Linked DNA regions of Rhinolophus ferrumequinum. The protein of the gene in region 2 interacts with the protein of the main gene of each other region in a pairwise test. Links are inferred from orthologs where the notes say so. Each region holds a gene or a part of one and is shown on either strand. Other genes may lie near its edges. The genes, in order: TSSK3, GOLGA2, HDAC4 and RNF135.

Region 1 (7,144 bases), on a different chromosome or scaffold from region 2:
GTGCAATATTATATATTTTAAATTATAATGCATCTCCCCAGAGTATTTTGTAGCCGGGAAAAGAAAAAAGGAAAAAAAAAGATTCCAACAGCTGTTAGTTTTGTAATTAAAAAAGAAAGAAAAAAGAACTTTGTCCTGAACCTTTTCCAGACTTGCCGTTAACAGCATTAAAGAGATTCACCAAAAGCTGGAAGCTGTCTGGGGGTCTGTTCTTGTCCCCCACGGCAGCTGCCTTGGAGCCAACGCAGGGCTCACCATGTGTGGAGTGGCTTCCAGCTTGGAGCCTGGGGAAGGGGGAGGGCTGGGGGCTAGCCTGGTCCTGAGGAACTTCCTGTCCTCATCCCAGACTCAGTTTGGCCTTTGGGATGAGGAAGGGACAGGGCCCCCAACAGGCCTGTGACCAAGACGAGTCAAGAGGCTGGTTCTGCATTCCCAACGCTTCTGCTTTTATTTGGAAAGGAAGTTGCAGCAACAGTGGCTGCGCTTGCTCTGGGTCATTGTTCTCCTCTCCTCCCCCTGTATGTGTATATTTCTGGGGTCTATTTTTAATTAACTTTAAACACTTGCATGAAAATCACTTGTCAGTCGTAATAAAAGGGAAGTCTGAATGAGACCCTCTGGTTCCATGAAGATCTTTAAGGGAAGGAGAAGTAAGGCTGGGGAGGGTGTAAGTAAGTTTTAGGATAAGTAAACTTAAAAGTGTAAAATATATATCACCAGTTTAGAAGCAGGTTTTTGGGTTTGCTTTCTCCCCCTGCTTTATTGGGGAGGACTTGCCATTGCTTTTATGAAGTGCTTGCTAGCCATGGATGCCAACTAACTTCTTCGATTGAAGGCCTGAGGATCATGTCTGGTTCTAGGAGCTGCTTAAGCAGGTCCTGGCATTCAGCCGAGATGCCCAGATGAGTGGGGAAGGACACCCCCTTCTGCTGCTGCCACAGCATCTTGGGGATGTCTGTGTCGTCAAAAGGTAGGCTGGCACAGAGCATGACGTAGAGGACGACGCCCAGGCTCCAGACGTCACCCTTCTTGCTGTCATGGGGAATACCCTGCAGCACCTCGGGGGCAGCGTAGGCTGTGCTGCCGCAGAAGGTCTGGCTCAGCTCCCGGCGTGACTTGGGCAACACCTTGGCAAAGCCAAAGTCAGTCAGCTTCAGGTTAAAGCCCTGCAACAAGGCATTCTCACACTTGAGATCCCGATGGGCTACGCCACAGTCGTGGCAGTAGCGGATGGCCTCGACCATCTGACGGAAGAGGGCCTTGGCCTGGCTCTCAGGCATTGGCCCCCCATTCAGCACGCAGTCAAACACATCCCCTCCCTCAGCCAGCTCCATCACCAGGTAGATTTTCCCGTCTGCAGACTCCAGCATCTCATACACCTGGATGATATTCTTGTGGTCCAGAGTCCGGACAATCTGGAGTTCCCGAGGCAGGAATCTCTGGATAAACTCTGAGGAAACGAGGGAGAAAGAGATGGGGCATCAAGTCCAGAGGGGCCTAACTCTTCCCTCCTGTCTCCTGCCTTCCAACATCTGCCTGCCTACCTGCCTGCCCACACACCATGTCTGGTTCTATTACTTTTGTAGTTAATATTCAAAGGAACTACTCCCTGCCAACCTCAGGGACTCTTGTGAGCAGCCCGTGAGATCATGGATATCCAAATCTTGGTGGGACTTTCAGACCAAGCCACTGAATCTGTTATGAGGCTGCCCACAGCATGTGAGCCAGCTCTCACCCCTGCCTCATGACCCACAGTTCCTTCCATGAGCCCAGTCTTGTTTCCCATTTCTACCTACCTCTATAGCAGCTCCTGCCCTCTGGCAGCCCTGGCCATGGTCTTTCTGCCAATCTCTATTCCCCTGGCAGGCTCAGGTTCTGCCTCCGACGACCCTTCACCCTACCACTTTAACCTTGGATTTTGGAGGGCATGATGTTCCTGGACTCCCAGCATCCCTCTGTTCCCCACTGACCTACCCCAGAGCCACAATCTCTTGCTTCGCTTGGTCACAGACTAAAAGGGGAGGAGAGAATGGTCCTTCTGACTGGAGGAAGCACCCGCCCACCTCAGCCAGCCCTCCCTTCTCCAAAGGGGCCCCAGCTCACCTTCTGGCCCTCCCATCTTGTCTATAATTTTAATTGCCACCTTTCTTTGGTGTTTTTTGGAAAATGCTTCTTTGACTTTTGAGTAGGTCCCTTCCCCAATGGTCTTGCCCAGCTGGTATCCATTGGAGAGCAGAAAGTCCTCCATGCTGTCTAGCGCCTCCTTTCTTCCTATCACCCTCTCAGCTCATGCTGCCTCTCTGAGGCAGCTCTACTCCACCATCGCCCTTGGCCCGGTCCTTTTTCCCCCAAGGACTTCATCCGCAGCGGCCTCCAGCGTTAGAACATTCTCCGTCTGGACAGAGCAGCCGCAGGTGGTGGGGAGGGACAGGGCCGGACATTTTAAAACTCCGGCCCAATTGTGATGTAAATGTGTGACCCTTGGCCAAAATGGGTAGTACCCCTACCTGCCCTCACCAGCACCAACACCAAACAGCACCGGTTAAGTCACTGCCGCGCTCCCGCCACCACGCCAGGCAGTGAGTCGCAGCCCCTCCTGGGGTGAGGGTGGGGCACTCCGGGGTGTCCGCGCTGCCCAGGATGCCAGGCTCCTTTTCGTGGATGCCGCCTCGCAACTGACTGTCGTTTCTGCCTGCGCCCCCATCGGGCCGTTGGGGATCTGCGCCATCCAGGCTTAAGGCGCTATGGCGAGAGTCCTCCGGCTCCCGGCTCGCGGCCGCACTAAGTGCTGGGGCAGCGGAGGGTTCCCGGCTGGAGGAACGGGTTCTGTGAGGTCAGCGAGCCGAGGTCCGGGTCACAATGCAGCCCTCCCCCTCGACGCCCGGGACCGCACCCGCCGCAGACACCTGCCCGGCTCCTCCTGGACCGGAGCGTCCTCTCGCGGCCAGGGCTCAGGCAGCTGCTTCCAGCCTGGGACCGGCCTCGGCCTCCGGCAGGTGAGCAACGACCCACGGGGCGGGTGCGTGGAGGGGACGCCTGGAGGCCCGGGAGTGGCCTGACCGCTCCTCGCCACGCAGAGCATCCGGGGTCCTGGACATGAGTGCCCAGGAGCCCCCGCAGGTTCGAAGATTTCCCATTGAGGCCGGAGACTCCCCTAGCCTTGCCGCCGCCCCCGAATCCCAGGACAACCCAGAGCCGGTAGCTACAGAGCACAACCCGGTCAGGTGAGCAGGCGCCCTCCCCCGCGGCTCGTCCTGCGTCCCGGAGTGCTCCCGGCCGTCCCTGTCCCCGGCCCACTTTTCATCCCCACACTGCCCCCCCACCCCCCCACGTAAGGGCCCCACATCCATTACCGAACCTCGGGTACCCCCAAGTGCACTCCCTGGATGCGTCCCCAACAGGATGGGCCGGCCCCCGCCTCAGGGTCCCCTGCCGCGTCACTTTCCCCAGGCCGCTTCGACGCTGCCCCGGCTGCCACTGCCTGACGCTGCTGCACGTGCCCATCGACGTCTACCTGGCTATGGGCGGGAGCCCGGGGGCCCGCGCCACCTAAGTGAGGCTGCGCACGGCGTCTCCGCGGGAGCCGGGCGGGGACGTGGCCCGCTGCGGGCCACCACGCTGAGGTCGCGCGCGCCGAGCACGAGACAATGATGCACATTTTAAAATAAAAGAATGATGCACATTTTAATAAAGCACAGCATAAACTGTTCTTTCCACTACAGGCTGGCTGTGTGTCTCTGTTCCTTTGTATCGGGCCTGCCGCCTGCTCCTCCCCATCCCTGAGCACCTTCCCTTCGGCTGCCTCCTCCCTTGGATCCAGCCCCAGGAGCCCCCCTTTCCTGGTCCGCTTTCTTCTGTCTGGGCGCTAACGCCTCCCCCCATTTTTTTGCTAGTTAGGACCCCTTCCTGTACAGCTCCCTCGGGCCCTGCCTACGTCATTCTCCCCCATCCCTCGCCTTAGTTCTCCAAGGAAATCACATCACTCTGCTGAACTCTGGAGGCCCAGAGAAGCTCGGGATTGGGGGAGGGCGGCAGACAACTTAGAATAAAGAGAATGACTATCCACACCGCGCTCATTTAATTCTCCCAAGACGGAATTAGGTTTTGCTACCTGCTGTTTTGTGATCCTGGGCACCTCTGGTTTTGTTGAAAGAGTTTAGGGGCTGCCCCGTCCATTTTGCGCCTTGGTTTCTCCTAGGACTGGTGGCACCAGAAAAAAATTGGGGAAGAAGTTGTTTGAAAAACTTTGATTTCTTATTCCTATTTTACAGGTGAGAGAACTGAGCCTTGAGAGACTTGCCTGGGGTCCCCCTAGCACACTCCTGTGTCTTCAGACTTAATGCCCTAAAAGCCATCCATCCATAGGAGGGGCCATGACATAAAGTTGCCTGGAAGTGTAATATTTAAGCTGAATGGGTATTTCCCACTTTCCAAGTTTGTTTTAATGAACCTGTATTATTTTAATATTGGAAAAAATATACGTAACCTAAAGATCAGGTTCAGTCTCCTGTCCCCTGACATCTAAGTACAATTGACTCAATACCCCTCTCCTAATCCACATGGGGTAGAAGCCCAAGCTGTCCCTGGAGCGCTTCAGAATCCCATGGTTACCAAAAAGGTGACTTCTTGGCTTCTGCACAAAATGCTCTCCCAGGCAGTGCCAAATGTAGGAGACTTACGGAAGGAGAGGGTATTTGCTGAAAAGCATATACTCCTAAGTGAAGACTTTAGACTTGACCATTCAACCCCTGGTCCTTTAAACGTCCTGGCTCTTGAAAGCCCCTCCATGCCTACGTTTCCCCTTCACGAGAATAACCTCTGGCTTCAGGCCCTAGTGCTGGCTTCTCTCTCCTCCCTCACACTTACCTCCTGGAGAACATCTCAGGGACTCTCAATACTTCTATTAAGTGGAATAATCCAGTTTCTTCCATCCCCACAAAACTCCACGCAGTCTCTACTCAGCCTAACAACCCATGGGGGTGCTCTGCAGAAAAAGGGCCTCCCCTACTTCCCTGTAAACAGTACGCGCTGTTTAGGAGACCATCATCATTTTAGAGAGAAACAAATTATCAGGCTCTGTGTTGATAGGGTCTCTCCATTGCAAGCAGCTGAAGTTAGCTTCAGCAAAAAAGGGATTGATTGTTTCAAGTGGCTGGGAAGGATATACGCTAGTGATTAAAGGAAGAACTGTAGGAACCAGGGCATCTATGGGGTTGGAACCAAGTATTCAACCCCACCAGGACGCCCCGTTGTTCCTCTCTCATCCCTGATTGTCTCCTGGGCAGAGAACATAGCTGCACCAGCTTAGAAATCCCAAGAATCCCAGTCTCCATATAGCTACCCCTGGAAGGGCAGTGTTTGGCCCTTCTTAAATCACATGTGCACTCCTTGGGCCAATTACCATTGTTAGGGAGATGGGAGACTATAAACGGCCAGGCTGGGCTATAGATAAACCTTCCCTTGAGGTGCAAACACAGCCAGGTGATTGACAGTATCACCAGAAAAGAATGGGTAAAGATGGGGAAAAAAATACTTCAGGAGAAGAGAGAGCTTATGCAAAGGTTGGAAGACTGGATATGCCTGAGAGAAAAAGAAACCGGAAAAGAAGGGGTAGAGAGTGGCAGGGGCCAGGGTGACAACTCTGTTCCATGGCAATGAGGAGCCTTGGACAGTGTGACCAGGTGTCGGGCTTCTGGGTTCTAGTTCAGGCTTTGTCCCTGACTCAGACAATACAGGTCCACCAGGCACTGGGGATTCAGTGGAGAACTTGACCTCCATGGGCCTTGGCTCTCATAGAACTCACATGGCCTAGCAATGACCTACTGGGAGGTCTCACTCAGACAAGTCCCTTCCCTCAGGGACCATTTCCTCACTGGTTAAAAAAAAAAAAGGCACCAGCTGATCTCTCTGGACCTTGCCTGCCCCCAAACTGCTGAATCCTTCCCATTCTTCCTTTCGTCTCCCTCACTTCCCTTGTCCCATCTTCTCAATCCTCCTTTCCTTTAAAAAAGATTTACTGCCACCTTCTATGTGCTTGGGTAGTGAGTGATGCACAGATTCCGGACACACATCTTGCCAATGGACATTCTAGTTAGCTCTAGAATGTCCATGAGCAGGAGAAAGGGCATTCCAGGTGGAAGGAACACTGTGGGTAAAGGCCTGGAGGCAGGAAAGTGGAGGGAAAGTTTAAGGAATTCATTCAAACAACTTTCACCTATACCTACCTGGGCCCCACTGGGTGCTGAGAGGCCAGGTCTGAATCTGACAAATCCCTTGCCCTTGCAGAGCTCAAAATTTAGGGGATCCAGGATGAGTTCACAGAAGAGAAGCTAGATCAAGAAGGCCTTGAGCTTGAACTTCGTTCTGTAGGTGACAGGGAGCATGACAGGCTCCAACCTGGGTCACGTCCCTATATTTCTCATCTTCTTTTCCATTCCATTCTCTGTTGCTGCTTCATCTTTCCCCCTGGAAAAGTTGCTGGCCTAAATTCTCATCCTGGGTTTGAGTCCTGATTGCCATTTACTAGCTGTGCAAACTTGGGCTAGTTACTTAGCCTCTCTGAGTCTCCATTTCCAAATCTGTAAAATGAGATTAATGACACCTGGTAGAAGGTTTAAGCAGTTGTGTGAGTACAGCACCAGGTAGGAATCTCTGGCACAGCCAGCAGCACTTGATGAGCAAGAGAAGCTGCTGTGGCTGCTGCTGCTGCTGCTCCTACCTTTGGCTTCCAGGGGCAGCAGAGAGCCAGCCAGTCACGTCCCCAGGGTCTGGGTGATGCCCAGCCTTGGAGAGGGTTGGGGAATCCCTCTTGCTTCCCTCTGCCAGCTTCCCAGCAGTTCTGCTCAGGAGCCTAGGAACTTGATGGGGGGCATTTACAGGCGAATCCCCAGGGGTAAAAGCAGAGCTGCCTCCTGTACCCTAGAGGGTAAAGCTGTCCCCAGACCCACAGATCCCAGTCTTATTCTCTAGGTCTGAGGAATCGGGAGGGGCCCCAGGAAAGGGGGACGCTTGAATCACTGCCTTCCTTGACTTCTCTCTCAGACACCTTAGTAGCCAGCCCCTCCCTAACAGACCCCCTTTTAGAAGGAGGGGGCGAAGTACAGATGGACCCCCAGGTTACCATGGAGATGGCAGGGAAAGGGTT
Region 2 (7,743 bases):
TGCTTAACCTTACATTTTTACAGTTAGTTTCTCTGAAGAAATAATCTCAAACCTTGTAACTACAATGCAAACCCCCTCTCTCTTAATCCTAGGTTGCCGACTCTCAAGCCAAAATGAATGAGTCACCTCGAAAAACCACCAACTGCTCTGTGGTCTATGGGTCTTTTAGGGACAGATGCCCACAGGACAAGACCTGAAGGTTTAGTTTTATTTAATCTCTCCTAGTCTGAGAGCACCACTGGACATTCACACTTGAGGCTCAAAAAGCGCAAATCCCACATACCTGCTCTGGAAACTATTCCCAAACTACTTTTAAACTTCAAGGTACAAATATATGGTGATGGAAAGAGAACTGACTCTGGGTGGTGAACATACCATGTGATTTATAGATGATGTAATACAGAATTGTACACCTGAAATCTATGTAACTTTACTAATAATTGTCACCCCAATAAACTTTAATAAAAAAAACAAAAAAAAAACTTCAAGGTACATCTCAACTTTTCCAAGATGCTGAAAGATATGGGGGGAGGGAAAAAAAAAAAACCCCAGTCAATCAAGCAGGTGAAAAAGCAGACATGAACAGGCCGAGGGTTAATGACAGCAACACAAAAGAAGCCAGAAGCAAAGTATCCCCCAAACCAGAGAAGCCTTGGGGGCGTGCAGAGCTGACAGAGAGCAAGCCAGAGAGGGGATCTCGGCATGCCTCACCTTCCACTTGTCCAATGGGGGCAGCGCAACCCCATTGGAGCGGTTAAGGTCGGACACCAGCACCTTCAGAATGTCCTGAATCTACAGGAGGCGGAAAGGGAAAAACAAGGGCAGGGAGAGACAGAGAAAAGTGTCTTAGAGAGAGGCAAGAGGGCCAGGGAAGGGAGAAGAGATGGGTTCCGGGAAAGAGAATGCTAGAGGAGAGAGAAGAAGGTCAACACCACGGCCTGTGCCATCGTTCCAAACAGCCGCTTGCTGCCTTGCCAGAGGCAGAAATCAACGCCAAGGAACAGATGGAAAAGTCCCCTGAACGATGCACTCACAAAGAGTGGAGTCACCTGACCAGTGCAGCTCTGAATATGCCCATTAGCCCCTCTCCTCAGGCCCAGGCTGCTAGAGGCGAACCTGGCAGGGCTCCAGACCCTCATCTCCATTTTAAAACCTCGATTTCCAAGTAAAGGTTTGCTGAACCAAAGGGGATTACAGCTAAAACATAAGTTTGGAAGACATTATCTGATCCAACAATATCATCTTACAGATGAGGAAACTGAGGCCCAGGGGAGGAAGTCCTTTTCCTGAGGTTACCCAGCAAGCTGTGGCTGAGATGAGCTCGAAACTCCTAATCCAGTGCCTAGGGCTCTCCTCACCACACCCGGGGGCTCCTCTGGTGCTTCCTAAAGGGAGAGCCTGATAGTAAGTGGCCTCCCCTTGAGGCTGGGGATGAGGAAAACCACCAGAGCAGTAAGTCCAATAGCAACTCCCCTTTCCTGAATGTTTACTCTACACCAGGCTCTGTATTTAAGGGATTCAGATAGAAACAACAGTCTCATTTAAACTCCATGAGGGTAAGTAAGTAGTACCCGGATTTTACTGATGTGGAAACAGACCCAAAGAGCTTAAAGAATTTCCCCAAATCATATCCCTAGCAGAGGGAGAAATAAGATTCAAATCCAGACTTCTTAACCAGTACCTGACACTTCTTCCACAATCTAACCACTAAGTTCTAGTCTTCCATCCCCAGTAGCCTGGCCAGCCAAGACTCACCTCCTCAGGCGAGTGACAACCATCAGAAGTGGTTGTCTCACTGCCATTTTTACTTTTCTTTTTCTTCTTTGCTCCTGAAGGAACACCAAGGTTGTTTTTCTTCTGAAATTCTCTCAACTGCAGAGAGGAAACGCAGTAAGACTCACGAGAACTATAAAGCCCTGTATTCACATCCTACTTTACAGTTTACAAAATACTCATATGCGCCATTTGATGCGATGCCACAACAACTCTACAAGGTGTTGTAATTCTCACTTCATGGCTGAAGAAAGGGACTGATCACATAGCCTTTAAAAAAAAAAAAGGCAATAATGGAATTTAAATTCAGTCTTCTGACGCTGAGGTCCAGGGGTTATGCCATAAAGCAGCAGCTGCCAGGGGGCAAAATCAGAGGCAGAGGTGGAAAAGTAAACATTGAAGTGATCAGGCATGAGGGTCCCTTCTTATACATCTATTGAGATGCACAGCAGTACTTCTCAAACTTTGACATCAATGGAGCCCAATGGTAGAAGGCAGTGAAGACACACCCCTAGTGAATCTGCGATTGTAGCAAAGACAACTCAAGCACCATTTTGAGAGACGTCTATTATAATCTTACAAATCTATGTAAATGTAATCCCTAAATGCACTAATATAAAAAGGCTTTTTCTCTCTCAAGAGCCTCCAGCAAAACGGATGCTTCAGTCCCATATTTATCCTGTGGCACTCAGAGCCCCCCATGTTGAGATGATGATTTGGGGATGATTCCCAGCTGTGAAGAGCAGTTTCTCGGGATCTGCTCCACAGAGGACAAGCAGAGCTCACACCAAAGAACACTGATTGAGGGCGAATCTGGTCTCAGGATCATAGGGCATGATTAGAACGTGAGGTAGAGAATTCAGATTAAAAATTAGGAACACTCTCTGGGGACTGGAAACGGGAGAAAACCAAACTAAACACATTCTCCCCATTGCCACCCAGAGATGTGGTCAACGTTTTGAGATCACTAGTGAAATGTAGGCTTTTTACGCTATCAGTGTCTAAGCATGGGGTACAGTCTACAGGAAGCCTGAAACCTCTCCGATCTAGGTCCCATAGTGCCGAGTCCCCTTCAAGGTGGAAATTTGTGCCGCGACCAAAGAAAACGGAGAGAGCGAAAACACTAGGAGGCTGGGTCTTTAGATCGAACACCTGGCTCGCGGCTGTAAAGACGGTTCCGAGGGTGATTGTGACGTAACTACATTCCACTCTTCCCTATGGATGCCCCAGTCGCCGCTCCGCGGAGGGGGAAGGGAGCGCAGGGCCCGGACCGAGGTCCTTAGCAACTGGGAGTCCAGGGAGCCCACGGAGCCCAGAGAGCCCAGAAGGTCCGGTTCTTGGCGGCAGGAGACAAGGGCCGAGCCGGGAGTCCCGGGGGTTACCGGCCCAAAGTCACCCGGGAGCGACAAGCGAGGGCGGGGGCTGGGCTGCCGGGGAGTGGGGGGGTGGGACTGGTGAGAAGATTTTGGTGGGGAGCCAACAGGCTCCGAGGGGCTTGCCCCGTGTGCCTCCGAGGCGGCACATACTCTGGCCACGGCCCAGCCGTCGGAGGGGCCTTGGGCTGGGTCAGGGAGCCGCGACCCGGCACGTTTTACCTTTTTCTTGGCCGCGGCCAATTTCTTCTGTCGGGTTTCTTCCGACATCCCGGGACGGGGGCGGAGGAGGCGGGACAATTTGAGCCACAACCCGACATCCACTGCGGAGTGTGCTTCCGGTCGCTACGGCGCAAGTGCGAGACGGAGCCACAAAAGGAGGGACCGGGGTAACTAGGCCGCAGCGGTGTGGGCGGGGCCTCAATTCTCTAATACTATTGGTCTATGAGAAAGACGTCACGACAAAAGATGTGCGTGCGGCCCCTGTCTCCGCCCACCTCGGGGAGGGGCGGGGCCTTATTTCTCAGGGTGCGCGCGCAGCTCGCTGTGTGACGGTTCTTGGGCTCCATCGCAGGATTCTGATTAACCCGCGGACCTGAGAGGCCGCGCTCCGTCCCTCGCCCTGGACCCTTCTGCACAGCAAACCCCCTCGAAACGGGGGCCCCGGACCCCAGGGCTCAGGAGGTGGGCTAGGAGCGGGCTGCAGGGGGAAAACTCATCCCTTCACAATCCCTGACCTGACTCCCATAAGTCTGCCCCAGACTTTCTCATCCCAGAGATCACCTCGAGACCCCGACCCAGTCTACACACTCCATCCTATCAGAATCTCTCCTTCCTCGAGGATCTCCACCCTGATCCCGGGAGCGTATCTGCCCCCTTCCCGACTGGATCCAGTGCCGGTAGCTCCTACTTCCCAACTCCTCCAACACCCCCACAGTACCCCCTCTTCCCGGAGCGAATTCTAGGTCCAATCAGCCATTTTTTCCCTCGGATTCCTCTCCAGGACTCAACCAGGACTTTCCAAAAGTTGCGGCGGGGCCTTCCGATCCCCTGTGAGTATGCCTGCGCCCCCCTTACCCTCCACCGTGTAAGTACTGCTGCTCCTAGCCGTCCTCTCCATCCCCACAGCAGCTGACCCACCCCCAGCCCTCTCCAAGGTTTCCCCTTATCCGAAGAAACTCTGGGTTATTTCTCAGCCCTTCCCCTTCTTTTCCTCGTGCCCACCAAGCTTCAAAGAAGAAGCAGTGCCCTGTCTTTGTCAATGGCACCCCAGGCTCTCCAAGTGGGCTCTGTCTCTCCTTCCTGACAGCACCACAAGGGGTTGGTTCTTTTTGACACCACCATGCCCTCCCTCACCCATCCCACCCACAGGTAAACCCTTCTCATTCCCTCCAACATATGTGCTCTCTCCTGTCTTAGGGCGTTTGGATGTACCGTCTGTCCTCTGTCTGGAATACTTTTCCAGCTTTTTGCCAAGCTGATGTCTACTCATCCTGTAGAATTGAGCTTCTCAGAGAAGCCTCACCCCCACTTCTAGCTCAGTCCAGCGACCCTGTTAGACACGCCTGTAGCACACTGCACTTCAACTTCAAAGCACTCAACTTCAAAGACTTGTAGTTAGTTGATTAGTTATTTGTAATTCATGCATTCATTAGATAAATTGAATGCCTACTATGTGCCGGGTACTACTGTAGACACAGTGCAATCAGCAGTGAGTCTAACAAAGTCCCTGCCCTCATGGACCTTACACTCCAGTGGTGTAAGGCCGACAATGAAAATAATATTTCCCGGCTGGCCCGGTGGCTCAGGCTGTAGAAGTGCCGTGTTCCTAAAGCCCAAGGCGTCCGGTTCAATCCCCACATGGGCCAGTGAGCTGCGCCCTCTACAGCTAAGATTGTGAACAACAACTCTCCCTGGAGCTGGGCTGCCCGTGAGCAGCCGGAGGGTGTGTGAGCTTCTGTGAGTGGCTGACCTGTGACCAACTGCCTCAGCCTGGGGGAGCGCAAGACTCAATACCAGCATGGACTACACAACTAGACTGAGAAACAACGGCTTGAACGGGGGTGGGGTGGGGTGGGGTGGGGTGGGGTGGCAGAAGAAAGGAGGGAAAAGGAAAATATTTTCACTGAAAGGCATAACATGTCCGGTGGTGACAGATGTCATAAAACATCAGGACAAAGGGATAGTGAGTCTTTGAGAAGTACCCATTTAAATGGGGTGGTCAGAGAAGGCCTTTCTGATGAAGTGTGACCTGTGAGTAGAACTTTAAATGGAGATCTCTGCAAGAAGAGCATAGTTGTTTGGTGTTTTATATTTGGGACTATGCTATCGGTTCCATGAAGGCAGGGGCCAGGCTTGCTGTCTTCTCCATTGGTGAATCCCTGGAGCCTTTGTCAGCTCCTGGTAGTCTTTGTTGACTGGCTGGAAGATTGGAACCACGTCTTCCTCCGTCTGTTCTGGTAGCGTTCATACAGTTGATCCAACACACGTTTCCTGAACAGTAGCAGCATACCAGGCACTCGCCTTCGCAGCTTTGAGAGGCAGAAAGGGCAAAGATGAATTGTAGTCCCAGAGAAAGATTTTGTTATCCAATGAAATAAACCCAGCAACATCATAGACTTGAGAGAAGAATCCAAGTAGACCTGACGTGGATTCTCTGGAGTCAGATATGGTCCTTTAGTTAGAATTGGGTTTGGCTGGGAGTGAATGAAAACCCCAAATAATAATGGCTTTAACAGTCATCAGGGACCCAGGGCTCTGTCTTGTTGCACCTCATCTTCAACGTGGCGTCTATCTCATCATCCAAGACACTGCGCAGCTCCAGTGTCCCGTTGCATACACCATTTCTGATTAAGTTCCATTTGCCAGAACTTAGGTTTAGGGCCACATCTAATTCCAAGGGAAGCTGGGAAATGTGGTCTTATTCGGGCGTGGGGAGGTGTCTATTACCAAGCAGACGTGGTAATATTGAGGAAAACGTGTAGGTTGTGAATGGGGGACAATGGCTCCGTCTGGCTAATGACTTTTTGTGCCACTCAGCGGCCGTCTCCCAAGTCTGGCCAGGCTGCTGGGGCCAACGAGGATTCTGTGCACCTTGACATTCAGAAACTGAAGGAGAAGAGGGACGTGCTGGACAAGGAGCTCTCCCAGTTAATATCTGAGTGAGTCTCACTGGGTTCCTCAGCATCGTTCAGATAACTTTTAACTCGAGCCCAGTAATTGCAACGCAGTCATACTAGCTCAGCATAAAAACAGAACCATACCGTTGGGTTCATGGTGTCTCAGCAGCCTCTCTGGGGTCGGGTGTGGTCAGGCTGGGTGGACCAAGAGCTAGGACTGGAAAGCTGGCAGGAATGGAGGTTATCGCTCTCCCAGTCTCTCTCCAGGGCCCACATTCTCGGCTCTGCACCTGTCTGCACCCGGACTCCATTCTGTCTCTGCAGGTGGGGTTTTCAGTGCCTGGGAGGTGCTGGTTCTTGCACAACTCCTGCGTGTTCTCACACCCCTTGCTCCAGCCACATGGCACAGACTAAGCAGCTTTTGAATGTGCATTTCACTTGAGGGGATCTGATTAGCCACTGGTGTGCCCACCTGTGGCCAGGGTCACAGTAGCAGTGTGGTTGGGACTCCTCCCTAAGGGCACAGGGAGCATGTACCAGGGGCTGACCCCTGCCCTGCTGTAATCTTCAGTGGGCAGTGTCTGTGTTGCCATCTCTATGTCCCCAGTGTAGTGCACCTAGTAGGCCCTTAGTGACCATTTGTTAAGTAGATGCCTCATTACTCTCTGAACCTTGCGTCCTCATCAGCTTTCTTAACGATTCTCTCTCTCCACCCTTTGACCCAGAGGCTACAGTGTGGATGAACTGGACGACCACATCTCCCAGCTGCACGAGTACAACGACATCAAGGACGTAGGCCAGATGCTGCTGGGCAAACTCGGTGAGACGCGGGACTCCAGGGGAGCATCAGGGCTTGGAAGGAATCCCCATCCCCCCCCAGGGGTGGTTGCATTCTGCTCCTGGGCCTTCTCACGTGCCAACCCTCCCACCCTTCACAGCTGCTCCATTCTCTGAGTGCCCCTGCCCTCCGGTCACCTAGCGAAGCAGCTGTACAGCTCCCTGGGGATTTTCCCCTCCACTGTAGAATCTGCTTTGGAGCTGCAGGCAGATTTGAGCATGGGCTCGCCCACCTGCTGCACTGAAGACTAGGGTTCCCAGTCTTCTGGGGCCTACTCACACTGATTAAGACACCATCCTGGCCTCAAGTGGCTGACTTGCTGTAGAGGCAAAAAGTGCAAGGGCGACTCTGTGTGACTTAAAGGGGTATTTTATTCTTCCTTGAACACAGTCTCACTGACCTGAGGGCTTAGCCAAGGCACAGATACCTGTGTGTCTGCGCTGGCTCAGACAGCCCACCTGGGAGGTAAGGACTTGTGTAGGTGGCCGCAGATGCATCACCTGGCTTGGATTGGTGGACACTGTGGCCGGTGACCATTTGGGATGGTGTTCAAGGCAGGGGCTGTGGGTCCAGCTGCTGCAGGACAGGACTTTATTGGGGAACAGTGTGTACTTCCAGGACTTTTTTCCAAGTCGAGTTG
Region 3 (7,565 bases), on a different chromosome or scaffold from region 2:
TAGGCCTTTATGAAACAGGATGCAAATGCTTTCCCCAGTCCTTTGTCTTTTAAACTTATTTGTGTTTTTGCTGCACAAAGAGGTTCTATCACTCCCCCAAATTGGGGCAGCTACTGCCTCCAACTTTTCTTTTCTTTTGAGGTAAAACCTCCCCGTGAAACGCACAGCTCTTGAATTCAATTGAATTCAATGAGTTTTGGTAAGCATTTACCACCCCGCCCCCTCCACCCCAATCAAGACAGATAGCATCATCAATCCCTCGGAAAGTTCTCTTGTGCCTGTTTCCCAATCATTCCTCCGCCTGCCCCACCCTAAAACAGAACCAGGCTTCTGGTTTCCAGCCTCATAGATTCTTTAGGCTGGTTCCTGAATTTCAAAGTGGCAGAATCACAAAGTATATACACTCTTCTGTGTTTGACTCCTTTGATGTTTTGACTGTCATGCACCTGTGTCAGTGTTCATTCTTTTTTTTTGTTGAGTAATATTCCCTTGTATGAATATGCCACAGTTGGAATTTATCTATTTCCTTGCTAATTGTACCCCAAATTTAAATTGTAACATAGTCATTTATCGATTATTTCCAGTTGTTGGTGGTCTTCTTTCTGAGTATCAGCTGGAGTTCTTCCATTTGTTTGGGATTGTTTCTTTACTTCCTAGTATTTTCCATGATCTCAGTCAGTCACATGGTGTTTTCCTTATGGAGCCTAGATAATAGGTTTGTTTTCTGGGAGCACAGTTTCTCCCTCATTACTCTCTTTTTTCATTATTCTCAAATGTTTATTCTTCTAGCTGAACTATTCCACTATTTTGTCAATTCCCACGAAGTTCCATTGGGATTTAGCAGTACAGTTAGGAATTTAAAATGTTCTTTTGCTACTGTGATTGGGAATTTTCCATCATGTTCTTCTAATGCACATACAGTGCTTAGCACAATGCCAGCCACATAGCAGATGCTCAGTAAACAGCATTTATAATTATTGATTGAATGTTGTTAGTATATCTGAAAGTTATTGGGGTTTTTGTATATTTTTTAATTGGCTACCTTGCTAAACTTCTAAATCTAGATTTTTTTTTTTTTTGAGTCTTTGGGGCTTTTTCTGATCAAAGGATTTGTTTCTCTCTGTTAACCCTGGATTCATTTTATTTTGGAAACATAACACTTCCTGTGAAGGATGAAAGACGCCGTCCTATGAAGCCTGAGGTGGGTGTTACCAGTGTTAGGGCTCACTGCACCTCCCCCGCATTCCCAGCCCCCGTGTTGGAGACCTTCCTTTTACTGGGCAGAATTCTATGGCATTGAGCTCTCGTTATTGTCTGTGAACTGGTCGCCTTCAGCCAGACAGCCCCTCAGGGACCTAAAGACAGACACAGCCGTCCAGGCTCCCAGGTTTCTCTTCCAGAAAAGGTGAGTTCTGTCCACAGGCCCAGCATTTACCATGTGCTTCATGTTCCTCGAGGACCTCTGGGGACTCCAGAGAGGCCTACTGGCACACAGCATTGGGCCACTTCATGCCTCGGGATGAAATTTACTTTTTAATTCATCCTGCCTGGGATTATACCCCAGCACTGTTTCATGTAGCTTTCTCTTCAGGCATGCATCTCTCATTTTGCACTTGTAAAATTACTCTTACATGCATTTTCTCCTGATTATTGCATACTTTCAATAATCTGTGAAATAACGTATCTTAATTTTTATCATCTAAATGTTACTCAGCCACGGGTCCTTTTCACCATATGCAAACTTTTGGTAAATATACTGCTTCCATTGGTGGGAAAAAAAATTCCTAGTGGTAATTTTCAATTTTCTTTAGCTGTATCTTTTAACGTTCTGCAGTTCACCATTCGTTTGCTTCAAAGTTAAGCTATCTTAGGGTAGGCATTTCTACTTAGAATGACCAAGGTTCTTCAGTCATTACCTACTTCAAGATACTTAAAATATTATCAAATTGTGCATTTTCACTTTGAAAATTGTTGTTTTTATCTACCTAGCGACATTTTTTTCTTCCAAGTTTCACTGATCAAGGACGATATTAAAACTAATCTCTGCTCACTTCTAAAAGGAACAGGCCAACAAAATAAGCATTCACACATCTGAGCCAGGCCTCTAGGATCACTCTAAGATTGACAATTGAACTGACCTGCTTTCTGATTTTCTTTTAAGTTCTAGAGGGGTAAAAGAAAAACAACAAAAACCCCCCAATACCCCTAAATTCCTCATTATGAAACAAATAACAAAACACCACAAAGGTGTGATTTTGATTAAAACAGAAATGCTTCTTCTTTTCTGTCCTGAAAAAGCATCTGGCCATAAAACTTGGAAAAGCTAAAGTTGAGGTTAATGAGTGATGAAGGTGTATCGATTAGTGTCTTTTTTTCTTGCAGGACAGTGAGAACTGAGGGTGTCACCGGTGGGCTGTTCAGGCCTTTCCTTTCCCTTCTTTAATCCAGTAGGTAATTTCAGATAACCTAGTCACCTCTGGTAATTTCTCCATTGATTGTTCTTTTCTCATGACCAAGTTCTCAAGATAGCTGATATTCCTTTCCATCTGACCTGCCTGTGTATCTTTTTGTGTAGTTTAGTGTAAGCGGGTCCTTGGTTGGTGTTACCAGGGCCTGACCAGTAGGGACCTTTTGGTACTTGAGGGAAAAAACATCCCTTGAATGCAGTTTTTAAATGATCTACCAAATTCTGCTTTCTAGGAAAAAAGTTGCTTTGGTTGCGCATCAACACATTTAACCAAATTTGAGCGTTAAGATCTCAAGTTTTTTGAGCAGTGGTCACCATTTTTGGTTGTGAAACATCCTGCGAGATTTCCAAGTATCCTGCGAGATATAAGGTTTTATGGAAGCAAAGGAATTATGCAACCCTTTTAATTTAAAATATAGACTCCATGCAGCACTTTTATTCACGTTGTTATAAACAAAACAATTATAAAATCCTGCAATTCGAATACAACGTTTGAAGTCTTTTATTCTATCAAGACTCCCCTCTCCACGGACTCCTGCTATTACCACGTAGGTCTGAACACTGACTGACGAGGGGTCTGACAGCACAGCTAACTGTCTGCAGCGCACCGGAGAATCACAAACTCCGGAACCCCCATGCACTGGCACAGGCTGTCAACGTGGTTTTTCTCGGGGAACACACGGGATTCCTAAAAACACTAGGTGCACCGAGGCTGAGAAGCTGCATCGCACTCTTGTGGAAATGAAACGACCGGGGGGTGGGCGTCGGAGGCCACGCCCACGCCCGCGCCCGCGGGTGGACAGATCACGGTGCCTCCAAGAGCCCAAGGTGTCACCCAGCAGCCTTAAAATGCTGAGCACTGGGGCAAAAGGACCGGTCGTGACCCCCCCGAGCAACTCAGATGCCGCGGCGACTACCGGGCAAGACCCTCGTCTCCACCACCCCGAGCCTGGACTCGCGATCGCAGTGCCCATCCGGAGGGCACCTCGCGCGCAGGTCCCCTCCTGCCGGCGCAGGCGCGGTCGGTCCGCTCCTCGGCCGCCGGGAAGGCCCACCCGCCTGCACCCAGCACTCCGCAGGCCGCGTTCCCGCCGCGGGGCAGGGCGGGGCCCGACGCGCCTGCGCACTATCCCTTCGCACCGCCCCTGCGAATCTGGGCGCACTCAGCAACACATGACCGCTGCCAGTATCCAAAATGGAGGCCACAGCCAGGCCAGGCAGGTTCCCCTCCTCGGTCTCAGCCCCGGCGTGCGCCTGCTACGCGCGCAAGCAAGCGCTGCTGACCGCTGGGCCGGTGCGGGCCAGGTCTTAGGGACCGCCGAGCGGGGATGGCCAGGGCCAGGGTCCGTGTTTACAGTCACTACTCGCCCCAGCTCCCTGCGCTTTCTCAACCGCGAAGCGCCCAGCGGCTGGCGCCTGGAGCGTCCTTTGGTCGCCCCGCCCCCTGTGATTGGCAGCTTTGGCAGCCAATGAGGTCCAGGACGTATGCGGGAAGGCGGGCAGAGGTGGAGCATCTCTGCCGTTCGTAGAGCGTCTGGCCTGGCGGTTGGCGGCCGTGGGACGAGGGGCGGGAGCAGACTGGGCTGTACCCCGGATCGCAGCGGACCAATGGAAGGACGGCCGGGAGCCCAGGGAGGGCGGGCGGAGGGCGGGGCCGAGCCGTAATTGACGAGCTCTTCATTAGAAACCGGGCAGGAAGGAGGGGCCCGCATGGGGAGGTGATGCAAGGCTGTCGCAGCCAATGGCTGCAGAGTTGCCGGCGGGGGGGCGGGGCCGTGGCGACTGACGGGCGTCGGGGTTGGCCTATGAGCGCCCAGCTCGGTGCTGGCGGGGGGAGCAGCATCATGGTTCAACGTGGGTCAATTTTTTGTGAATGAGGAGGGGAGGTTGTGGGGCCGCCGCCGCGGAGCACGGTCCTCGCCGCCGCCCGCGCCGGAACCTGCGCGCCCGCCCGTCGCCCGCCCGCCCGCGCCGCCGCCTCAGCCGCCTGGGCCCGGCGCGCCGCGGCCGCGTCCCTGCTGTCGCCGCCGCCCGAGCGCCCGCCCGCCCGCCCGCCGGCGGTGGTGGTGGCGGCGCAGGCTGAGGAGATGCGGCTCGGAGCGCCCGCCGCCGCTTCCCCGCCCGCCGCCGCGGTAAGCGCAGCCCGGCCCGGCCCGCGGGCCATTGTCCGCCGCCCGCCCGCAGGCCGCCGGCCTCCACGCCCCCCGCCCGCCGCCCAGCCCGACAGGTGGACGCCGGGTCCGCGCCCCCGGCCCAGCCCGGCCCCGGCCCGTGCGCCCAGGCCGCGCGCGGCGCCCAGCCCGTGGGGTTGCGGAGCGCGAGCCGCAGCCTGCCCTGGACCTTCCCTGCAGCCCCGAAACAAAACGACGGCCCGCCGCCCAGGCCGGTGGGGGCCCAGCGCGGCCGGCTCGCCTCCGGGGGGGCGCGAGGCGCCTCCGCCCGCCCGTCCAGGCCGAGCTCTCGGCAGGTGGGCCGGGGGCTCCCCGAGCCCGGCGGGCGCCGTTTATGTAACTTTGTCAGGGCTGTGAGTTTGCAGAAAAACATCCCTCCCGGGGCTCGCGGCTGGGGTGCCGGGCCCGTGACGGGGGTGGGGGCGCTGCCCAGGACCCCCACTGGGTTGCCCGCAGGCTTTCCACAGGCCGAGATGTGGCCCGGTCCTGCCGGAGGCTGTGGGGCGCGTTTCCCGGCGTTGCAAACACACACCGTGGAATTATAAAGCAAATTATCTCGTATTTACATTTAACGCTGAATTATTTGACACTGTTATAGCAGGAGACCGTGCGTACCAGTTGGAAAGGCCGGGGGTGGAACCCACTGTACTCATTTAATGCACATCAAAAATTTGCAATAACTTGCAGCAGCTGATAGGAGTGTTTTCTTTATTGCATGTTGTAAATTGACCTGCTGTGACACGGTTTTCAAATAAAGCGTTGCAGAAATTAAACTTAAGTTATTTTAAAACTAATGACTTTCTTAACTAAATCCTGATTGCATTGCTGTAGAGACCTACCTAATTGCTTGCTGAGAGCAGCTCCGCCCGCCCTCCCTGACGGAGGAAAGGGCCTGGGTACTCACTTTGCTTCCTCTCCTCTCCCCACGCAGGCTTTTCTCTGTTTATTCCCACCGACCACCTCATCGTGGAAGGCCTGGGAGTAAACATGTAAACAGCCGTCACCCAGCGGCCAGCCCAGCAGGGTCGGGGTGATACTGATGGGTTTGCACCTTGGCCTGGTTTCACTTTTTCTTTTGTAATACGATCGTGGTTGCCCGGAGTTTTAATTGCTTCTGATAATTCTGTGCATGATGTTAGAGACCGTGCTGTGAAAGCTGGTTTGGTGTTTTCACAGTCCAGCCAGGAAAGGTGGTGCTGACTGGGGAGAGGGAGAGCCGTTGAATTAAGAAAACTCAGCTGCTTGTACACAAATATACACTACACTACAGCAATTACAAAGCAACAAAAGTTATTGCAGAATTTTGCAGTAACTATGGCAACACAATTACTCTATTATAATTGGAAATGCAAAATGCTACCCTGTTAGAAGTTTCATCAGAATGGAGTTTGGGATATTGAAAATACGTGAGATTTAATTCTTTTTTTTCTTTCAGGTAGCTCCTGAGAATTCTAAAATCTGTGTTCAGTTATCTATTTTTAAGACTGATAAAGCTTTCCCAGATTTTCTACTCACTTGGATCTGTGGCATCTTTCCCCAGAACTCACATTTGTGTGGGAGGGAAGTATTTTCCTGCCTTAAAAACACACACCCTGACACATTGTGAGACTTCTTCAGCTTTCTGTGTTCTGGGCTTTTATTTTAAAGACCAGATACCTTCCTAAAGAGAGCAGTAATCAATCAGAAAAGAAGCAGGGTTTTTGCGGCAGGCAGATGTAACAACACTGTCCTCTTAGGGTTCTTCTGCAAGAGTTGCTGGCCGCAGGGTGCCCCTGGGGTGTGTGTAGGGATGTGTGTAGGGGGTGGATGACTGCAGGCTCCTTGTCGGCCTCGAAGGCCTGGGGACCAAGGACAGATGTGGCCTAAGCAGCCCTGAGCCAGAGAGAATGTTCTGTGGTCAGCAGCTTTACAGCTGTGCAAAAGGAAAACCTCCTTGGGGGCTGTTACTGTAGCAAGATCGACAGAACATGGCACCCTGGCCAGGTGCAGCTGGAGTAGCAGATCTCGACTTCTGGTGGTCAGAACCTGCTTTACTAGGATACCCCTCTTGATGTTTACCAGGAGGACTAGTTCTGGAAGTTTCCACACATTGTGGGGTTGCTGCAGTTTAATTTCGTTATAAGTCTTTCCTTTTAACTCCTGCATATTTATGCCCAGTAATCGACTTCCATTTTCCAGCTTCATTGTGAGGTTTCAATGCAGCATGAATGGCTTTGAATTCTCATCCTTTGATGTTGGGGGTAGCACCAGAGGAAAGGGGACTTGGTGCCGTCTTAATTGCCGGAGCAGAAGAAACATTTCATCACTCCTGCAGAATTTGTCCCTACCATTCTCTATTGAAAACGGCTGGGCTCTCATCACTCCCAAGCTGCCAGGAGTCATAGGTTAATACCTGCTGTGGGGAGTGGGAGAGACACAGGGAGGAACGGGCCCCAGGCTGGGCCAGGCGTTTGGTCCCTGGGCCAGAATGGATGACGGCAGCTGGAGAGACCAGGGGCCCAGCCTACATGGAAGCCTGGGCCGTTGAACCGCGCCCTGCAGCCTGTGAACCTGCCCTTCTCGCCAGAGGGCAAGTCCCTGGCCCTGGGGTGGGGGCAGGGATGGAGTTTGGAGGGGGTTTCTGTTTCAATGGCAGATGGTCAGCATGTGCTGGGGAGTGCACTGGGCTTGGTGCCTTTGGCCTTGACCTTAGAGAGGAAGGTACGGCACCTTCTGGTTCAAGTCCAGTGAGGGCCTGTGTCAGAGTATAGCTGCGTTCTAGCACACCTGTCACGGGTGTGCACAGAGCATTCTAGCACACCTGTCATGGGTGTGCCTGGAGCGTTCTAACACACCCGTCACAGGTGTGCACAGAGCATTCTAGCACCTCCGTCACAGGCATGCACAGAGGATAATAGCACACCTGCCACGGGCGTGCACAGAGTGTT
Region 4 (8,420 bases), on a different chromosome or scaffold from region 2:
CAAATAATTGAATATGACTAGAGCACAAGTTGTTGGAAGAGGAGAAAGAACAGATTAGACTGGAGGAGGGTCTACTTCAATAGTGGTGGAATAGCTCAGATCAGAACAACCATTCCACAGATAATTAGAAACTCTGTACAGACTATGACAAAACAATTATCTGAAGGCTCTGGAAAACGACCTAAAGCAGGCAGAGACTAGAGAGAAGTTGGTACTGGAAAGCAAGAACTAGCATGGGTTTCTCATTTTTTAGCTTTTCACCCCAGGGGGCCACTAAAACTTTGATGGAAGCCTGCGTACATCCTAATTGAAAAGTAGAGGACAGAATTTAGGGTGACTATAGCAGCTGGCAAATGAGAGAGGGAAGTCTGGGAGGCCACAGAGGAGGAGCCCAGAATTCTACATATCATCTGCCTACTCTCTGGAGGAACATAAAAGAATCTGGAGTTTGACAATGTATTATGAAGAATATCAGGATTATAGCCCTAAATTAGTAGACATATGAAGAAGCAAGAAAATGTAAATTATACTGAAGAGAAAAATCAATGGAGACTGAATCCAAGATGTCCCATATATTGGAATCAGCAGGCAAGAAGTTTAAAGCAGCTATTGCAACTATGCTCAATAAGTAAAAGAAAATATCATAATGAATAAACAGATATGAAATTTCAACAAATAGAAATTATGACAAAGAACCAAATGAAACTCTAGGACTGAAAAAATACAGTATGTGAAAAAAAAAAAAAACTCAGCCCAACAGTAAATTGGAGATGATTGGGTATCAGTGACTTGAAGACAGTAATAGAGCAATGGAAATTATCCAATTTAAAAAACAGGGAAAAAAGGGAATGAAGAAGTGAAAAAGTCTCAGTGACCTGTAGGACAATATCAAAAGCTCTAATTTACATGTAATTGGTCTCAGAAAGAGAAGAGAGAACTATTGAGGCAGAAAAAAATATTTGAAGATATATTGATTGAACTGTTTCCAAGTTTGGTGAAAGACGTGTAGAGACTCAAGAAGCTCAGTAAACTCCAAGTAGGATATATACAGAGAAAACCACATCCACATTCATTGTTGTCAATCTGCTGAAACAAAGATAAAGATAAAATCTTGTACAAACTGTCAGTTATAAAAACAGTCACAGGGATGTAAAGAACAGCATAGGGAATACAGTCAACAATATTGTAATAACTATGGTATTAGATAGGTACTAGACTTATTAGGATGATCATTTCATAAATTATTAAATATCTAATCACTATATTGCACACCTGAAACTAATATTGTATGTCAATGTAATTGGAAAAATTTAAAAATATTTTTAAAAGAATAAACAATTCCAATTGGAGAAAAAAGAAATATCTTGAAAGCAGCCAGAAGAAAATGATATACAAGGTATGGCAATTAAGTTCGTGAATTCATCCTAGAAAAAGTGCTACATACCTCATTGCTGAGTATCACTATGGTCAACTTCGAAGTACTTCCCTTGGGAAGCTATGCACCAACGCCAGCACCTAGTCCACCCTTCAAAGCAATTTTTTAAAAAATTATTTTTAAAATTATTTTTTTAATTGGGGAATATTTGGGAACAGTGTTTTTCCAGGATCCATCAACTCTATGTCAAGTTGTTGTTTTCAATTTAGTTGTGGAGGGTGCAGCTCACTGGCCCATGTGGAAATCAAACCGGCGATGGTGTTAGGAGCACTGCACTCTAACCACTGAGCCCAGCGATTCAGTTGCAAGCTCAAGCAGTTGTTTCTCACTGGTCCATGTGAGAATCGAACCAGCGACCCTGGTGTTATGAGCACTGTACTCTAACCATGGAGTGAACCAGCCACCCCTCAAAGCAATTTTGGAACTCTTTCTGGAATGGCCATCACAGCTGTCATCATACTACCCTTGATGTCCTGAATATCATCAAAATGTCTTACTTTCAATATTTCCTTTATCTTTGGGTAAAGAAAGAAGTCTTTGGGGACCAGATCAGGTGAGTGCGGAGGGTGTTCCAATACAGTTATTTGTTTACTGGCTAAAAACTCCCTGCCAGACAGTGCCATGTGAGCTGGTACGTTGTCGTGATGCAAGAACCATGAATTGTTGGCAAAAAGTTCAGGTTGTTTTCATCTAACTTTTTCACGCAGCCTTTTCAGCACTTCCAAATAGAAAACTTGGTTAACTATTTGTCCAGTTGGTACAAATTCATAATAATTTGTGAATAATAATTTGTGAAAAATAATTTGTGAATTATGATTTCTGATATCAAAAAAGTTTACAACATCATTGCAACAAGTTCGCTAACATAATTGTCAGACCTCGTATGCATATTTTTGTGGCCGAGAATTATTACAAAGTGATAAAAGTGATTAGAAACTGATAAAAGGCTTTCATGCACATATATTACTATAGAATATAGTTCTGTGGATAAATTGGAATGGAAATACAAGTTCAAGAAGATGAAAGAATGATACAATTTCCGATGTAAATGAAAAACTTGTTCAAGTATTATTTTTTTAAACTTTTATTTATTTGTGTTTTTCCACAAGCCATCAGCTCCAAGTCAAATAGTTGTTTCATTCTAGTTGTGGAGGGCACAGCTCACACTGGCCCATGTGGGGACTGAACCGGCAACCTTAGTGTTAAGAGCACCGTGCTCTAACCAACTGAACCAACCAGCAGCCCTAGTTCAAGTATTTTTACAGCTAGGGTTGAATACTTCCACCCTTTCTCCTTTTCTTGTAATCACTGCATGTTTTTGCCTAAAACTTTTAGGAGGTGCCCAAGAAAAATGTCTGAAGACCACTGGTTAATCCACCCTCTCAAAATACTTGGGTGTGTAATGGAGAAGAAAAGGAGAGGTACCTAAAGGGAGGCTTTTATCAAAGGAGACTGCATTCTTTAAGATGGGAAATTTGAGCTCGTGTGTTGGGTTATTCCTATTTTTCAGAAAAGAGAGGATCAGAGAAGCTATGAGTTTACGCCAGATGAGGAGACTCCGCAACAAAATCCAGGTAATACAGTTGACCCTTGAACAACACAGGTTTGAACTGTGGGCATCTACTTATACATGTACGATCCTGGGACTCCACAGATGCAGAGGCTGGCTGTATGCATTGATCTACAATAGGGCACTTGAGCACTTGAGTGGATTTTTGTAGTAGAGGGGGTCCTGGAACCAGTTCCCCCACCCGTGGATACTGAGAGACAACTAAGTGTTGGGGGAGTCAAAAGTTACATGTGGATTTTTTGACTGTGCAGAGGCTGGCACCCCTAACCCCTGAGTTGTTCAAGGATCAACTGTACCTCAGTCAGGATAGGCTATATTATGCTGCAGCAGCAAGCACCCACTATATCTCAGTGACCTGAACATATCTCGTGTATTTCTCTCCTTTACTACACATCAGTGTGGGTTGGCAGGTGATCTGCTCATCTTAGCCACTCAACTACTCAGGCCCCCAGATGATGGCTTCATCTCTGTAGTCAGGGCAGATGGCAGAGATACAATGACTAAGTTTTTTTAAGCTGGTAGGAAGTTAACAAGTGTTACTTCTGTGTGTTTCCAGTGGCTCAGAGAAGTGCCAATCCTACCAGGTGCCTAGAAAGGGAAACTTCGATGAGCAGCGCGAATAGGTAAATTCTATTGACTACTACCTGTCATTTCCAGTATTGCAAATTGCCACACGTTTGTATTATCTGGTACCTACTTTGAGACTGGATAAGACCGGGGCAAAATAAAATATAAGACATTGTTAGTTCATTTCAAAAGATCAGAGATGGGTTCTGGTCTCTGCCACTCAGTTATTGCTCTGTAAGTCTGGAAGTTCCTTTGCCTCTTTGGATCTTTGGGGAGGACTTGTGCTCTTCCAGTTGCAACGTTTTCTGGATGTAATGAGCTTAGGACCGGAGTAAGAGCGAAGGAAGAAAGCAAGCCCAACCAGGACCAGATGTGCTAGCTACAAAAAACCCCCACTGTCTAGTATTTTCGTCCCGAAGCCTGTTGTGTTAACGTGCTTTCAGCCAGCAGACAGCAGTACTGCTTTCAGCCAGCAGAGAGCAGTAAGGAGATACCACATTATAATAGCGATTTTAAAAGTCTAGAGTTACTCAGTTTTGCGCGTTCGAATCACCTGGGGGAGGTTTTTCAAAAATCCTGAGTCCGCGATGCACCGCAGACAAAGAAATCAGACTCTGGCAGCGGAGACCGAACATTGGTATTTTAAAAGAGTTTCCCAGCTTTGTGCGCTGGGTATTCTTGAATCCCTACTGCTTGTTAGAGGGGCTGGATGATACTTAGTCGGCACATCCTCTTTTTTTTTTTTTTGGACTTGGCTACCAGGCACTCCTGGCTCTGCCATTTATTACGGTCCCTTGTGAGGTTGAAATGGGGTCAAGATTGAAATACAGATTGACAAAGATTATATGTCCAGTCAGCTTTAGATGATTTTCATAAAGTATTTTGAATACAAGCCCCTTCTTTTTTGGATCAAGATAAAGGGCTGAAAAAAGAATACCTGACCAGTAAGATGGAACCAGAAAATTCAATATTTTTTTTTCCTTTTTTAAATTCCTTCTTTTTTTTTTTTATTTATTGGGGTGACAATTGTTAGTAAAATTACATAGATTTCAGGTGAGTCGGCACATCCTCTTGAAAGAGTTCTGGAATCGAATTCTCTGTTGTTTCTTCTCCCAAGAGCTGTCAGGGTTGCATTTTAATGGGGGGACATCAAGCTAGAGAAAATCTTCGGGCATCAGCGGGCTTCCTAAGGCTTGGGGCGAGCTGATTTCCCAGCGCAGGAGGCGGTGGTGAGGACTCGCTCTAGCCAGAGGGCGCTGCAGGCTGGGCGGTGGAGACTCTCGGCTTTCAGCGGGACCCGAGAAAGGAAAAAAGCTTGGATCGCTACGAGTAGAGGAAGAGGCAGCAAAGGAGGAGGGGAGAGGAAGAGCAAGGGAGGAGCAAGGGAGGAGCCGGAGGAGACGTAGCGCGGGCGGGCGGTCCCCACTGTGGCCCTGCTTCCGGACGGCGGCCTGGTCACAATGGCGGGTCTGGACATCGGACTCACGGTGCCGGTGTGGCTGGCCGAGGACGACCTGGGCTGCATCATCTGTCAGGGCCTGCTCGCCTGGCCCGTTACGCTGCCCTGCGGCCACAGCTTCTGTCGGGACTGCTTGAAGGACCTGTGGGGCGCAGGGCGCCACTGGTCCTGCCCCACTTGCCGCGAGGGCTCCGAGCAGCAGCTGGAGCTGCGGAAGAACACGCTGCTGCAGGACCTGGCGGACAAGTACAGCCGGGCGGTGGGCGAGCTGGAGGGCGGCCCGGGCCCGACCCGGAGCCCCGGCCCCTCCCCGCGACCCGCGCGCCGCACCGGGCTGCAGAAGGTAGGGTAGGCGGGTCCGGGTTCCCGTCTCTCCGTTACCACTATCTGCCCACGCTTCCTGCACCGCTTTCCCCCATGGATCTTCCTCCCTCCCTCATCCTTCCTACTTTCACATTACTTTTCTCCATCTAAAAGTAGAACCCGCTCTTTGGAAAGTTCAGAAGAGTATGAAGAAGCAGAAAAAAGTCCAAATCTCCTGAAATCCTTTCAATTTAGCTGCTATACACCTTGGCATATTTCCATTTCTTTGCAGTCTTTCTGCTGTCTGTGTCTCTGGCAATTTTTTTTCTGTTTTGTTACTTCGTTTGTTCTGTTCTTTAGATTCCACATATAAGTGAGACCGTATGGTATTTGTCTTTCTTCGTCTGACTTATTTCACTTTGCATAATATCCTTGCACAAGGTAAAATTTCATTCTTTTTTTTAAGGCAGAGTAATACTCCATTGTATATATGGACCACTGTTTCTTTATCCAGTAATCTTTTGATGAGCATTTTGGTTGTCTGGATTTTTTAATTGTGGTAAAATACATATAACAAAACTTGCCATGTTAACCATTAAGTGTACAATTTAATGCCTTTATTATATCCACAATGTTGTGCAGCCATCATTACTGTCTATTTCCAAAACTTCATCACCACAAACAGAAACTACCCACTAAGCAGTAACTTCTCATTCTCCCTCCTTGCAGCCCTCCCTGCCTCTAATCTTTCTGTCTCTCTGAATTTGTCTACTCTAGATGTTTCATGTAAGTGCAATTTGTGTCTGGCTTCTTTCACTTACCATAATGTTTTCAAGGTTCATCCATGTTGTACCATGCATTGGAACATCATTCCTTTTTGTGGCTGAATAATATTCCCTTGCATGTATATACCACTTTTTTTTTAATCCATTCATACATCAGTGGACATTTGGATTGTTTCCGCCTTTTGATGATTGTGCGTATTATTGCAGTGAACGTTGGTGTACAAGTATCTGAGTCCCTATTCTCAGTTCTTCTGGGTGAATACCTAGGACTGAATTTGCTGGGCCGTTAGTGTAATTATACGTTTAACCTGAGAAACAGCCAAACTATATTCCACAGCAACTACATCATTTTACATTCCCATCAACAAAGTTAGACGGTTCCAGTTTTCCCTGGCTTTTTCTTGTGGGACTTAGGTGGTTTATTGTGTCTTTCAACTAGAATCTTTTGTCCCAAACATCCGCTATGGTAGTTTAGTTCAGCTTGCAGCGTTTGCCTGAGTTAGGTGAAACAAAGATGAGCACACTGTGCCATTCCTTCAGGCAGCCCCTAGCCAGGTTTGAACAGACATACAGGACAATTTCTGAAAAAGGTCTGCTCTGCACCTTCCAGAACCAGGACAAGGGTTCCAGGATTCGTGAATACTGAGGGAGTGGGGATGGCCAAATAAAAACACCACGAAACTTTCCTAATGCCAGGTTGCTCTTTTTTGATTCAGTGTTTTCCAGAGTTCTGGCAAAGTTGGTTCTGATTGTTTCTGCTTGTTTTTCAGTGTTTCTGTGTGTGTGTGGCGGAGGTGGGGGGGTGAGGGGGGTGGGGTGCGGGGATGAGAGCTTAGAGTAGCCCACTACACCCGATTGCTAGTCTCTGCAGTCCTTTTAAATAGAGTTGAGGTCATGTTGTATAGGCAGGTTATGTCCTCTTATTTATTTATTTATTTTAAGTAACTATGGTTTTTGTGATTAGTTTCTTAATCTTTTAAACCTCAGTTACTTTTTTAAAAATTTTTAAGTGTGTTTTTCCAGGACCCATCAGCTCCAAGTCAAGTAGTTGTCTTCAATCTAGCTGTGGAGGGCACAGCTCACAGTGGCCCACGTGGGGATCGAACCAACAACCTTGTTGTTAAGAACACCGCGCTCTAACCTACTGAGCTAATCGGCCGCCCCGTCCTCTTTTTTTAAAAAAACTTAACTAACAGATTTTATTTCTTAGAGCAGCCCTAGATTTACAGAAAATTGAAGAGGTGCTCCAGAAAGTCCTCACACACCCCTCACGTTCCCCATATTATTAATGTCTTGTATTAGTGTGGTGCATTTGTTACAATTGATGAACCAATATTAATACATTATTATTTACTAAAATCCTAGTTTTCATTTACGTAGGTAGGGTTAACTCTTTGTGTTGTATGGTTCTATGGCTTTGACAAATGCATGAGGTTATGTATCTACAATTATGGTATCATACAGTTTTAGTGCCCTGAAAATCCTGTGCTTCTCTTGTTTGTACCCCTCACTCCAAACCCTGGCAACCACTGATCTTTTTGCTGTCTCTTTAGTGTTGTCTTTGCCAGAATGTCATATGCTCATAGTTGGAATCATAGAGTATCAGGCCTTTTCAGACTGGCTTCTTTCACTAAGCAAAATTAAGATTTGTGGCTCGATAGCTCATTTCTTTGTATTGCTGAATAATATTTCATCGCATAGAGTGGACCTTATACCTGAGACAGATGCCTTCCCCTGCACCACTCACTGCCAAATCTCCAGGCTGTCACCCTATTTCTTCACCTTTTGATGGACATGCTGGTTGCTTCTATTTTTTTTTTTTTCAATTATGAGTAAAGCTTGTTCTCTTAGATTATAAATGCAGCATTATCCTTCAGGTCCTTAAAATTCTTTATTAATGTAGTTTATAGTGACCGACTATATGTCCCATTGGCTTTTACATTAAAATGATGGTCTTTGGCTGGTGGGATATTGGATGATTTGAAACATTTCTTCTTTTCAATTCTCTGCATGTTCTAAATTCAAATAAGTGTGCATCTCTCTTATGGATAGAAAAAGCAATGTAATTATTTTTTTTAAGTTTTTGATTTGCTCAGACGCCTGGAGAAGGCCTCCATTCCAGAGTTCCAGCTGCTTGAATTTTAGGAGAAGGGCCTTGAAATTTAAGAGCAAACAATGTTACCAGCGGTCAGCCACCTCCCTCTCTGAAATAGCCTGGTTATGTCTTCCAAAACACATACAATTTGAGGGACACCAGGGCTTCTTAAGAAATGAAAAAGGTCCTGGGTCAATTCCAGTTTT

Evidence for each region.
Region 1: the proteins of GOLGA2 (region 2) and TSSK3 interact in binary tests that used the Homo sapiens proteins (3 or more experiments, as listed by UniProt). The two-hybrid records come from large-scale screens. The link is inferred for Rhinolophus ferrumequinum from reciprocal best matches to the Homo sapiens genes GOLGA2 and TSSK3.
Region 3: the proteins of GOLGA2 (region 2) and HDAC4 interact in binary tests that used the Homo sapiens proteins (3 or more experiments, as listed by UniProt). The two-hybrid records come from large-scale screens. The link is inferred for Rhinolophus ferrumequinum from reciprocal best matches to the Homo sapiens genes GOLGA2 and HDAC4.
Region 4: the proteins of GOLGA2 (region 2) and RNF135 interact in binary tests that used the Homo sapiens proteins (3 or more experiments, as listed by UniProt). The two-hybrid records come from large-scale screens. The link is inferred for Rhinolophus ferrumequinum from reciprocal best matches to the Homo sapiens genes GOLGA2 and RNF135.

The regions. Positions count from the first base shown.
Region 1 is NC_046292.1:22,209,348-22,216,491, reverse strand, and holds TSSK3 (testis-specific serine/threonine-protein kinase 3), read right to left. Parts: upstream 2,515-7,144; 5' UTR 2,249-2,514; coding exon 2,104-2,248; intron 1,451-2,103; coding exon 786-1,450; 3' UTR 733-785; downstream 1-732. Other genes in the region: protein FAM229A, read left to right, coding at 2,860-2,996, 3,078-3,224, 3,451-3,553. UniProt on the Homo sapiens protein: Serine/threonine protein kinase required for spermatid development and male fertility.
Region 2 is NC_046295.1:77,183,654-77,191,396, forward strand, and holds the start of GOLGA2 (golgin subfamily A member 2), read right to left. Parts: upstream 3,514-7,743; 5' UTR 3,417-3,513; coding exon 3,369-3,416; intron 1,873-3,368; coding exon 1,756-1,872; intron 793-1,755; coding exon 712-792; intron 1-711. UniProt on the Homo sapiens protein: Peripheral membrane component of the cis-Golgi stack that acts as a membrane skeleton that maintains the structure of the Golgi apparatus, and as a vesicle thether that facilitates vesicle fusion to the Golgi membrane.
Region 3 is NC_046291.1:1,453,026-1,460,590, forward strand, and holds the start of HDAC4 (histone deacetylase 4), read left to right. Parts: upstream 1-4,509; 5' UTR 4,510-4,599; intron 4,600-7,565. UniProt on the Homo sapiens protein: Responsible for the deacetylation of lysine residues on the N-terminal part of the core histones (H2A, H2B, H3 and H4).
Region 4 is NC_046304.1:20,583,244-20,591,663, forward strand, and holds the start of RNF135 (E3 ubiquitin-protein ligase RNF135), read left to right. Parts: upstream 1-4,960; 5' UTR 4,961-5,032; coding exon 5,033-5,374; intron 5,375-8,420.